2 linked regions of the Oryctolagus cuniculus genome follow. The protein of the gene in region 1 purifies or fractionates together with the protein of each later gene. This does not show direct contact. Links are inferred from orthologs where the notes say so. Each region holds a gene or a part of one and is shown in the gene's direction. Other genes may lie near its edges. The genes, in order: GLI2 and SUFU.

The links.
Region 2: the proteins of GLI2 (region 1) and SUFU purify together in Homo sapiens (affinity purification with mass spectrometry; 3 studies listed by BioGRID and IntAct, with this or other methods). This does not show direct contact. The link is inferred for Oryctolagus cuniculus from reciprocal best matches to the Homo sapiens genes GLI2 and SUFU.

What each region holds. Positions count from the first base shown.
Region 1 is NC_091434.1:121,130,126-121,134,359, reverse strand, and holds the start of GLI2 (zinc finger protein GLI2), read left to right. Parts: upstream 1-1,331; 5' UTR 1,332-1,470; intron 1,471-1,531; exon of another isoform or gene 1,532-1,670; intron 1,671-4,234. UniProt on the Homo sapiens protein: Functions as a transcription regulator in the hedgehog (Hh) pathway. Functions as a transcriptional activator. May also function as transcriptional repressor. Requires STK36 for full transcriptional activator activity.
Region 2 is NC_091446.1:27,383,190-27,386,987, reverse strand, and holds part of SUFU (suppressor of fused homolog), read left to right. Parts: intron 1-2,011; coding exon 2,012-2,168; intron 2,169-3,798. UniProt on the Homo sapiens protein: Negative regulator in the hedgehog/smoothened signaling pathway. Down-regulates GLI1-mediated transactivation of target genes. Down-regulates GLI2-mediated transactivation of target genes. Part of a corepressor complex that acts on DNA-bound GLI1.

The sequences.
Region 1 (4,234 bases):
TCAGATAAAAAAGATTTGTTTATTTCAAAGTCAGAGGGAGAAAGAGAGGTCTTCCATCCACTAGTTCACTCCCCAGATGGCTGCAATGGCCAGAGCTGGGCCAGGTTTAAGCCAAGAGCCAGGAATTCCATCTAGGTCTCCCATGTAGGTGCAGGGGCCCAGGGACTTGGGCCATCTTCCACTGTTTTCCCAGGTGCATTAGCAGAGGGCTGGATGGGAAGTGGATCAGTCGGGCTGGAAAGGAGGCAGAGGCTTTACCCCATAAGCCACAGAGTGCCGACTTCCTTTGCCTTTCACAGAACAAGGAGTTGCTGTGGGACGCCTAAGACTCCTGGAGGGTGGCAGCTCGCTGCTCTGATCTCGGGCAGAACTCAGTCTTCCTACCTGAAGAAGGGGGCGAGGGCGCACACACTTTGGGAGCCGCGAAGGTGACGTCACACCAAGGGGCAGCCATCGCTGGGGTCAGGAAAGAAATACACAAAATTCCCCAGCCACTCTTGTGGGAGGCTCCAGTGCCCAGGGGGTGGGGGGAACAGCGGCTGGAGAGCAGGATCCCGCCCGCTGCCCTACCGCTGAGGGGTTGTGCTGGGGACCAAGGACCCAGGGTCCTTCTCTCACAGGCCCCACACACCTCGGCCCCAAGATTCACTGTTTTGTTTTTTCCCCCTTCCTTCTCCCTCTGTTGCTGCTGGGTCCTGATGACTTCCATCTGGCCGCAGGGGCGCGAGTGGAGCCTCTAAAAAAACCAAACCAAACTAAACCCAACCCCTCCCTGAGGAACACATGCACCGGGCCCCCGCGGCTGGGGACGCCGGCAGGACCCCCGGCACCTGCAGGAAGAGTTCCGCGTGGAAGCGGCCCCCGCCCTGCCTCCCTCGGGTCGCAAGCTTCCGCCCCGGAGTCCGTGCACGCGGGGCACGGCGACCTGGGCAGCTGCCGACTGAGGGAAGCGGGCGCGGGTAGCGCGGAGATGGAAAACAGAGCGATTCCCGCGCCTCGGCTCGGCGTTCATCTGACTCGAGTTAGCGTCGTGCCCCACCCCCCAGCCCGGCGCCGGGGAAAAACTTTCCCCGTGGCTGCACCGCGGCCCTCAGCGCTGGGGGGTGTGGGGGGGAACCCCGCCGCCCCTCCCCTCCCTTCCTTCCCCTCCCCTCGCCCCACCCCCACCCCAACGCCCGGCCCCGGGCGCGGTGCGCTGCGCGGCGCCCGCTGTGCCCAGGCCGAGCGCGCGGGGGCGCTGCGCGGTCCGCGCGGCGCTGCTGGATTGCGCGAGTGCGGGCGCTCGCCAGCCGAGGCAGCACGGCTCCGCGGACTTTTTTTCAAACTCCCATCAATGAGACTTCGAGGAGGAGCGCGAGGCGGCGGCGATCGCCGACGCGGAGGAAGGCGACGAAGCGCGGGAGCAGCCGGAGGGAAGAGCGCGAGCCGCGCGGCGCGCCCGAGCCTTGCGGAGCTGCCCGCTTGCTGGCGGTAGGGGCTACCCGGCCCCCGCGCGTCTCGGCTCGGGCCCCTCCCGGGCGCGGCCCAGCCCGGCGCTGCCCGTCTGAGCCGCGGCGCACGGCAGCCCGCGGCGCGCCCTTGCGCCGGCCGAGTTGGGATGGGGACCCGCAGCCGCCGCCCGGCGCCTGAGAGGCCACCTGCGTGCTAGAGGCAAACTTTTGTCTCCCTCGGTAAAGTTGCGTCGGCCTTCTGTGTGGCTCGCTTGTCTTTGCGGAGCGCCGCCTACCCCGGCCGACTGGGATGCTGCGCCGTCTCGAAGGCTCCCTTGGTCGGGGGCCGGCGCCGTGGCGCGGGGACCGGGTACTGGGCTTAGAGGGACTTGCAGACCAGCGGGGGGCGGCCCCGCTTCCTCCCCTGGGGTGGAAGGGGTTTTGGGTGATGGGACTCGTGGCCGAAAGGCGACTTTCCCTACCCGGGGGCAAGCTTCTGTCTTCTCGGTGTGCGCCCGGGCCGGGGGCTGTTGGTGCGGGTGCGAATGAGCGCGGGGCTGGATGTCCACAGCTCGCGTTAGGTGGGCGGCGGGAGCGTGTCGGTGGCAGCGCTGTGCCCAGGGCCCGCGGCGGCCACTTGTACGAACTTCCAACTGCACTTCTCCGCGGCGCGCGTCCCGCAGCCCGGCCTCTCTTTCTTCCTCGCTCCTTCCTCCCCCTCGCTGGGCCCTGTCGCCCCCTCCCCCTCGGCCGGCCTCTCCTCCTTCTCCTCCTCCTCTCCTGCCCTCGGCCCCGAGATCCGCTTGACTTCCCCAAGAGATCCTCACGTAATCCTTGGCCCGACCCGCAGGTCCCCCCCACCCCTCACTTCCATCCCCGCCCCCACCCCCCCATCCCGGGACAGTCTCTCAACAAGTATATTTGCTGAGGAATTTGAAAAATCCACTACTGCAACTTGATCTGTGTGTGATGGATGGGGAGAGGCGCGGGGAGAGTTGGGCGCCAATCCTATTAAGGGTTTAGAGAGGGGAGCGTTTTTCCCCGACGGGGCGGGGGCGGAGGCCGGTGGGGGGAAGGGCGCTCGCGCTCGCGTGCGGGAGTCGGCGGGAGCCACGCCGCAGAGCTCAAGTCCGGCCCGGCCGTTGTGGGTGTCCTTCCCCGGGAAACGCGGCTTTTAGGGCGCGGGGAGCTGCGGGTGGACCCGCGCCTCACCCCGGGTGACCAGAGCGCGCGGGCCTGGGGTCCGCCTTCCGCCTGGATGCCTCTTTTGTGTAGTTACTGCGCGGCTCCCGGAGTGAACCGCAGCGCTTCCCCGCGCGCCTCCCCTGGCTCCCCATCCCGGGCGTCCCGTGCGGAGAGCGAGGCCCGTGTAGTGGGCTTCGGCGCTCAGCGGCCACCGCAGCGTCCTGGGCCTGGGGCCCCGGCGCCCTTGCCGGGCGTGTGAAGGTTTTAATCCCAACAGCTTCAGATCAAGGCAGAGGTCGTAAAACGCTCACGTGCTGTTTGCGGACGGGGCTCTGGGGGCTGGCGGAGAAGTTGAAAGTAAACGTTTCCCTCGCGAGTGGCATAAAATAGTGTTTAAGCAAATATTGTATTGGCATGCTCCGGTTGGGGGGGGGGGGCGGTGCCAGAAAGTAAAGGCAATAAACTGTGAAATCCAAAATATACAGCAGGGGATCGCGGCGCAACAGGCGGGCTTCTGAGCAGCTGGCCTGATGCGAGCTGTTTGCTTTGGCCGCCTTGCCTCCCGGCCGCTCCGTGCCCAGCTCCTTACCTTGCTACTGCTCTCCTGTGCTCCTCCCTGGGGCTGGGAGCTGCCCGTCTTGTGGGTATATGGGGTCGGGAGAGCGAGCACCCTGGCCATGCCTGGCTGCTTTTAAGTTTTGAGGCCTTCTAGACTTTTCCCAGCTTCTGGTCTGTCTTGAAGGTGATCATTTGGAAATGTCCAACCCGAGACCCTGAAGATGCCCCGGCCTGGGGTCTCCCTCCAGCCTTCCTACCCCTTCTTAGGTCTCTGTCTTCATCTTGCCTGCTCTTCTTTTCCTAGGAGTGCGCATCTGTCCTGAGCCGGACAGGAAATTGGGTGGGGGGATGACTCTGGTTTTCAGATCCCACTCAGACTCAACAGTCCAGAAAGTTATCACTCCTCTGGTGGGTCTGGAAGTTAATTATATTTTGTAAGATTGAGGGTGGTTTTGTATTTCCCCTCTGCTTCCAGAAACATGCCAGTTTCAGGAGGCTATTTTGCCATTCATGGGGGAGGGGGTAGGTGGGATTTAAATGAATGCCTGGGAGATCCAGCCCACCTGCCCAGGATGAAGAAGAAGCCTTGTGTTGGTCTTGAGTCTGTGTGAGGGTCGGAGCAGTCCCTTGCAAAGTCAGTTGGCGAGAATGAGAGGGAAAACCAGAGCAAGGCAGGGCTTACCGAGGAACAACGTGGGTTTGTTAAGAGATGTTTTTTTAGCCTTCGTGGGAATTGCCAGGGATTGGCATAGGGTTCCCACTGTTTCGGGAGACTTCCAAGGGGCTCCCAAGCTCACAAGGCTTCACCCTGGTGTGCGTGTGGGGCGATCTGTGGTCTTGGGGCTGGTGGCCTTGGGATGGAGTGCCACTTTCTCAGGGATGTGGCCAGTGTGGGCAGAGCACACAGCAGAGAGGAAATCCTCTGAGTTGCTTGGTCACAAGAGGGGGCCCCAGGGCTGCTGGTCAGCGGCTCCTGACCGGGCTGCGGGGGTCTTGGGGGCTGTGTACTGTAGCGGGCTTGTTTGCATTGCAGACTGAAAAATACACAAATACTTCACGCT
Region 2 (3,798 bases), on another chromosome or scaffold:
GCAGGAGCAGCAGGCATCCTACCAGGTGCCTGCCATGGGCGTGGCTCCTGCTCCCCCTCCACCAGTTGCAGGGCAGTGCTGTCTCTGAACCTTTCCTTCTCTAAAGCTCTGGCAGGCCACAGGCAGCTGCCTTCTGGAGCAGGGCAGAGGTGGCAGATGGACACGCTGCCTGCAGTCCCCGGGTTCTCTACTGCACGCCTATGAGGGCTTGGGCATGAATCTTCATTCACAGATGATGCTCCTCTGTCTTCCTAGTGCCTTTAACACTGAAACTTTCAAGTTGTTGCCAACATCCTCTGTTATCTCTGCTTTAAGTTTGGTTTCCTTGTAGCTTCTGCTTATGCAAGAACCAGGAACCATGAAGGCTGAGCCCTTTGTCTGCAGCCTGGTCCTTTGAAATAGTAAGGCAAGCAACTTGTCCTTTGTCTGCATGCTAAGAATAGTTCTCTGTGGTCTGCAGGCTCTCGAGACCAGCCCGCAGGACCCAGAGCACCCAAGTGTCTGTCAAAGCAAGTAGGGAGCCATGGGAGAAGGATGCAGCTTGCTTTCCTAGTCTCTGTGGACCAGGTGTGAACTCCGCTGCGTTCCCTTATGCTGCCCTCAGGCCTGCTTTTGCTGTCAGTCCAGTTTAGAACTGCTCCTGTCCTTCAATCCAAGCTCTGCCACTAACAAGCTGTGTGCCTGACCCAGTCTCCTTATTTCTCTGGCTCTTAACTCTTTCTTTTCATTTATGAAGTAGGTACACTGGACCAGTTTAGCCAGGAGGTATCTAGTCTTAGCTCTTAGCTGGGTAAAGGGCTTCAGGGCAGCCAGTGGAGAGGGAGAAGCCCAGGCTCTCCCCTCAGCAAGAAGGGCTCACCTGCTGCTACCTGGAGGACCCAGAGCCATTCCCTGCTGCTAACCTCTCCCTACCAGAGCCCCAGCGTTGTCCAGGCTGATGGTGACACTGGGAAAGAGGAGGGAGTGCTTGATGGGAAGGAGGTGTCCTAGGCAGGGACACTTGTGATAAGTCCCAACAAATGAGAGCAGTTTCCCCCAGATAGCTCCCTGACTGGCCAGTTTGGTGCCCATGATGCCATAGCAGGGCAAGGGGTGCTGATGAGGGGAGTGGGAGCACACAGCCTTGCTGGCATGCTCAGTCACAGGAGCTTTATTTGGCCCAGATGGCTGTGGATGGGCAGGGTTGCTGGAGCCTTCTAGATGACCTTTAATCTAAAACCCAGCATCTCAGCACTGTATTTTGCCAGAAAATCCAAGGATGTTTTGAGTACGGCTCTTCCTCGAGGCCATTTGGAGAGTGTTTGGACTCAACAGTGCCAAGACCTGCACAGAGGCAGAGCCTCCTGGCAGGGGGTTGGGGGTGGAGTAGGGACACTGTCTATAGTTGGTCACTGTCCTCCAGGCCCTTGTTCGATCTAAGAGATGGAAAAGGAACTCTATCTAGTGTCTTTTGCAAAACAAGTTAGGGGTGGCAGCCAGGAGACACCAGGGCTTCTGCTATTGGGCACATCTCTGTACAGCTGCACCCTCTAGCTGTTGGAAGAGGAACTGCAGACATGGCCTCCCTCACCTGTAGCTGGCTTCCCCTCTGACTGCTGTAGCAGGAAAGAGTTCTTGAAGGATCAGGGAGGAGAGGAGGAAGAGAACCTTCTTCAAGGAAGTGGGTCCTGTCTTTGCCACATCAGCTTCACAGGCCAGCATGGAGTGGGTAGGGTCTGGGCTCTGAAAGAGGAGGGAAAACCATGGTCCTGGAAGGCTGATGGTGGAAAAGCAGCTCCCCTTGGCTTTTCCATTCCTCCTGGTTCCCCTGCAGCAGTGCAGGGGCCGGCAGAGACAGTCGCATGCGGGAACCAGGCAGCGCAGCAGCAGAAGCCTTGCGCTGCATCTGTTGCGTCCTCCTTGGCACCTATGAGGGCTTGACACGTGCTCTAAGCATGGGAGTGGGGAGGGCAGTGGTGACTGTGGGGCCCCAGTTCTCTGAAGGAACTCTGGCTCTTTGGATCTTTTCAAGCAGGAGCGAGTTGACAAAGGCATCGAGACAGACGGCTCTAACCTGAGTGGTGTCAGCGCCAAGTGTGCCTGGGATGACCTGAGCCGGCCCCCCGAGGATGATGAGGACAGCCGGAGCATCTGCATCGGCACACAGCCCCGGAGGCTCTCTGGCAAAGGTGGGGCCATGGCCCGGCCCCGCTCCTCCCCTTTTCCCTCTCCAGGATGAGTCTTTAACGAAAACAGCCTGTTCAATAGTTTCTTTACTGGCCTGAGTTAAGCAGCAAGTAAAGTCTTCCAGCAGGGTGGAATTAAGGGAGCTTTATTGGCCCATTTATAGCTCTTTCCTGCGTGTGTTGCAAATACACCACCAGCAGGGACCATTGTGTTTTACCTTCAGGTCTTGCGATCTAGGGTCACGGATGTGAGTGGAAGCATTAGAACAGTTACAGGAAAAGCCCATAGTCCACCCAAGTACAAGAGAACAAGCACGGCCACCCACAGAATTGACACAGGGCCCAGTTCTGGCCTGAAGACCATGCCAGCCCTGGCGATCAATCATGTGAGGCCCACTTGCAAATGACCCCCCGTCGCACTGTCCTGTAGTTACAGAGTAAGGGGCTGTGGGTGGGGCACCCTGTACCTCTTGAGTTTGCATGAGATTTTGGGAAGGAAGATGAGTGTCCTGTTGGAAGCTCCCTGTGCTGGTCTCAACTGCAGAAACAGTTGTGGCTTTTAGCAGAGGGTATCCCAATATCCCAAGCCAACTCCAAAGGCAAAGCAGCTATTTTGTGTACGTGTGTGTCTGGCTTCTTGGTCTACTTCCTTTCTCTGTTTTTTTTTTTTTTTTTCTGATTTTTTTGAAGAAAAAGATCCCTTCAGCCTTGAATAGCACCTGCCTATGTGCTAACACTTGTGAAAGGTTTTCTCTTTCTGAAAAGGACAACTTAAACCCCTAGTGCAAATATTTGACCATGTTTAATCCCTTTCTTTCCTTCCTGTGTACCACATCTGTGGGAGATTCAGAAAGAGAGCACCCAGTTACCAGAATCATTCTGTTGCTTTTGACAAAAGAGGAAACTTAAGGAGGGATCTATAATATTATCTCAGAATTTAATTGTTCTTGACTAGGTTTTAAAAATTATAAAGGTAACCCATGCCACTGTAGCCAAAAAGAAGCTTGTAACCATCCCCTCCCCACTCTGAGCATGGCCCTTTGAGCACCTGATGTCAGTTTGCTGTGTTGTATGTGTTTACAGTTTGCAGAGTAAGTCTTAGATCAAAATCTGGATGCAGGGGAAAAGATTAGTACACTTTGCCCCAAAGACCACAAAACACCTTACAAGAAATAATCCCACCAAGGGACTCCTTTCTCACCCTAGCTAGCTCATGGGAGGCCCAGTTGCCTGGGACAGACCAAGGAAGGGATATGACCTCAGCATTCCATGACCCCGGCCCTAGAGGAAAGGGCAGCAGGGCCAAACCTTAGGGGACCCCCAAGAACCCAACTGGGAGCCAGGCACCTCCTCCTGGTCTCCGATGTGGGTGTAAGGCTCAAGCACTTGGGCCATCCTCCACTGCCTTCCCGGGCCACAGCAGTGTGCTGCAGAGCAGAGAGCTGGGCTGGAAGAGGAGCAACTGGGACAGAATCCGGCCCCCCAACTGGGACTAGAACCCGGGGTGCTGGCGCCGCAAGTGGAGGATTAGCCTAGTGAGCTGCGGCACCGGCGCCACTTGTCTTCCACGAGAATGGCAGTCCGCAGCCTCTGAGCTCCTGGAGAGCACTGCCTCGTCCACCCTTGATGGTCT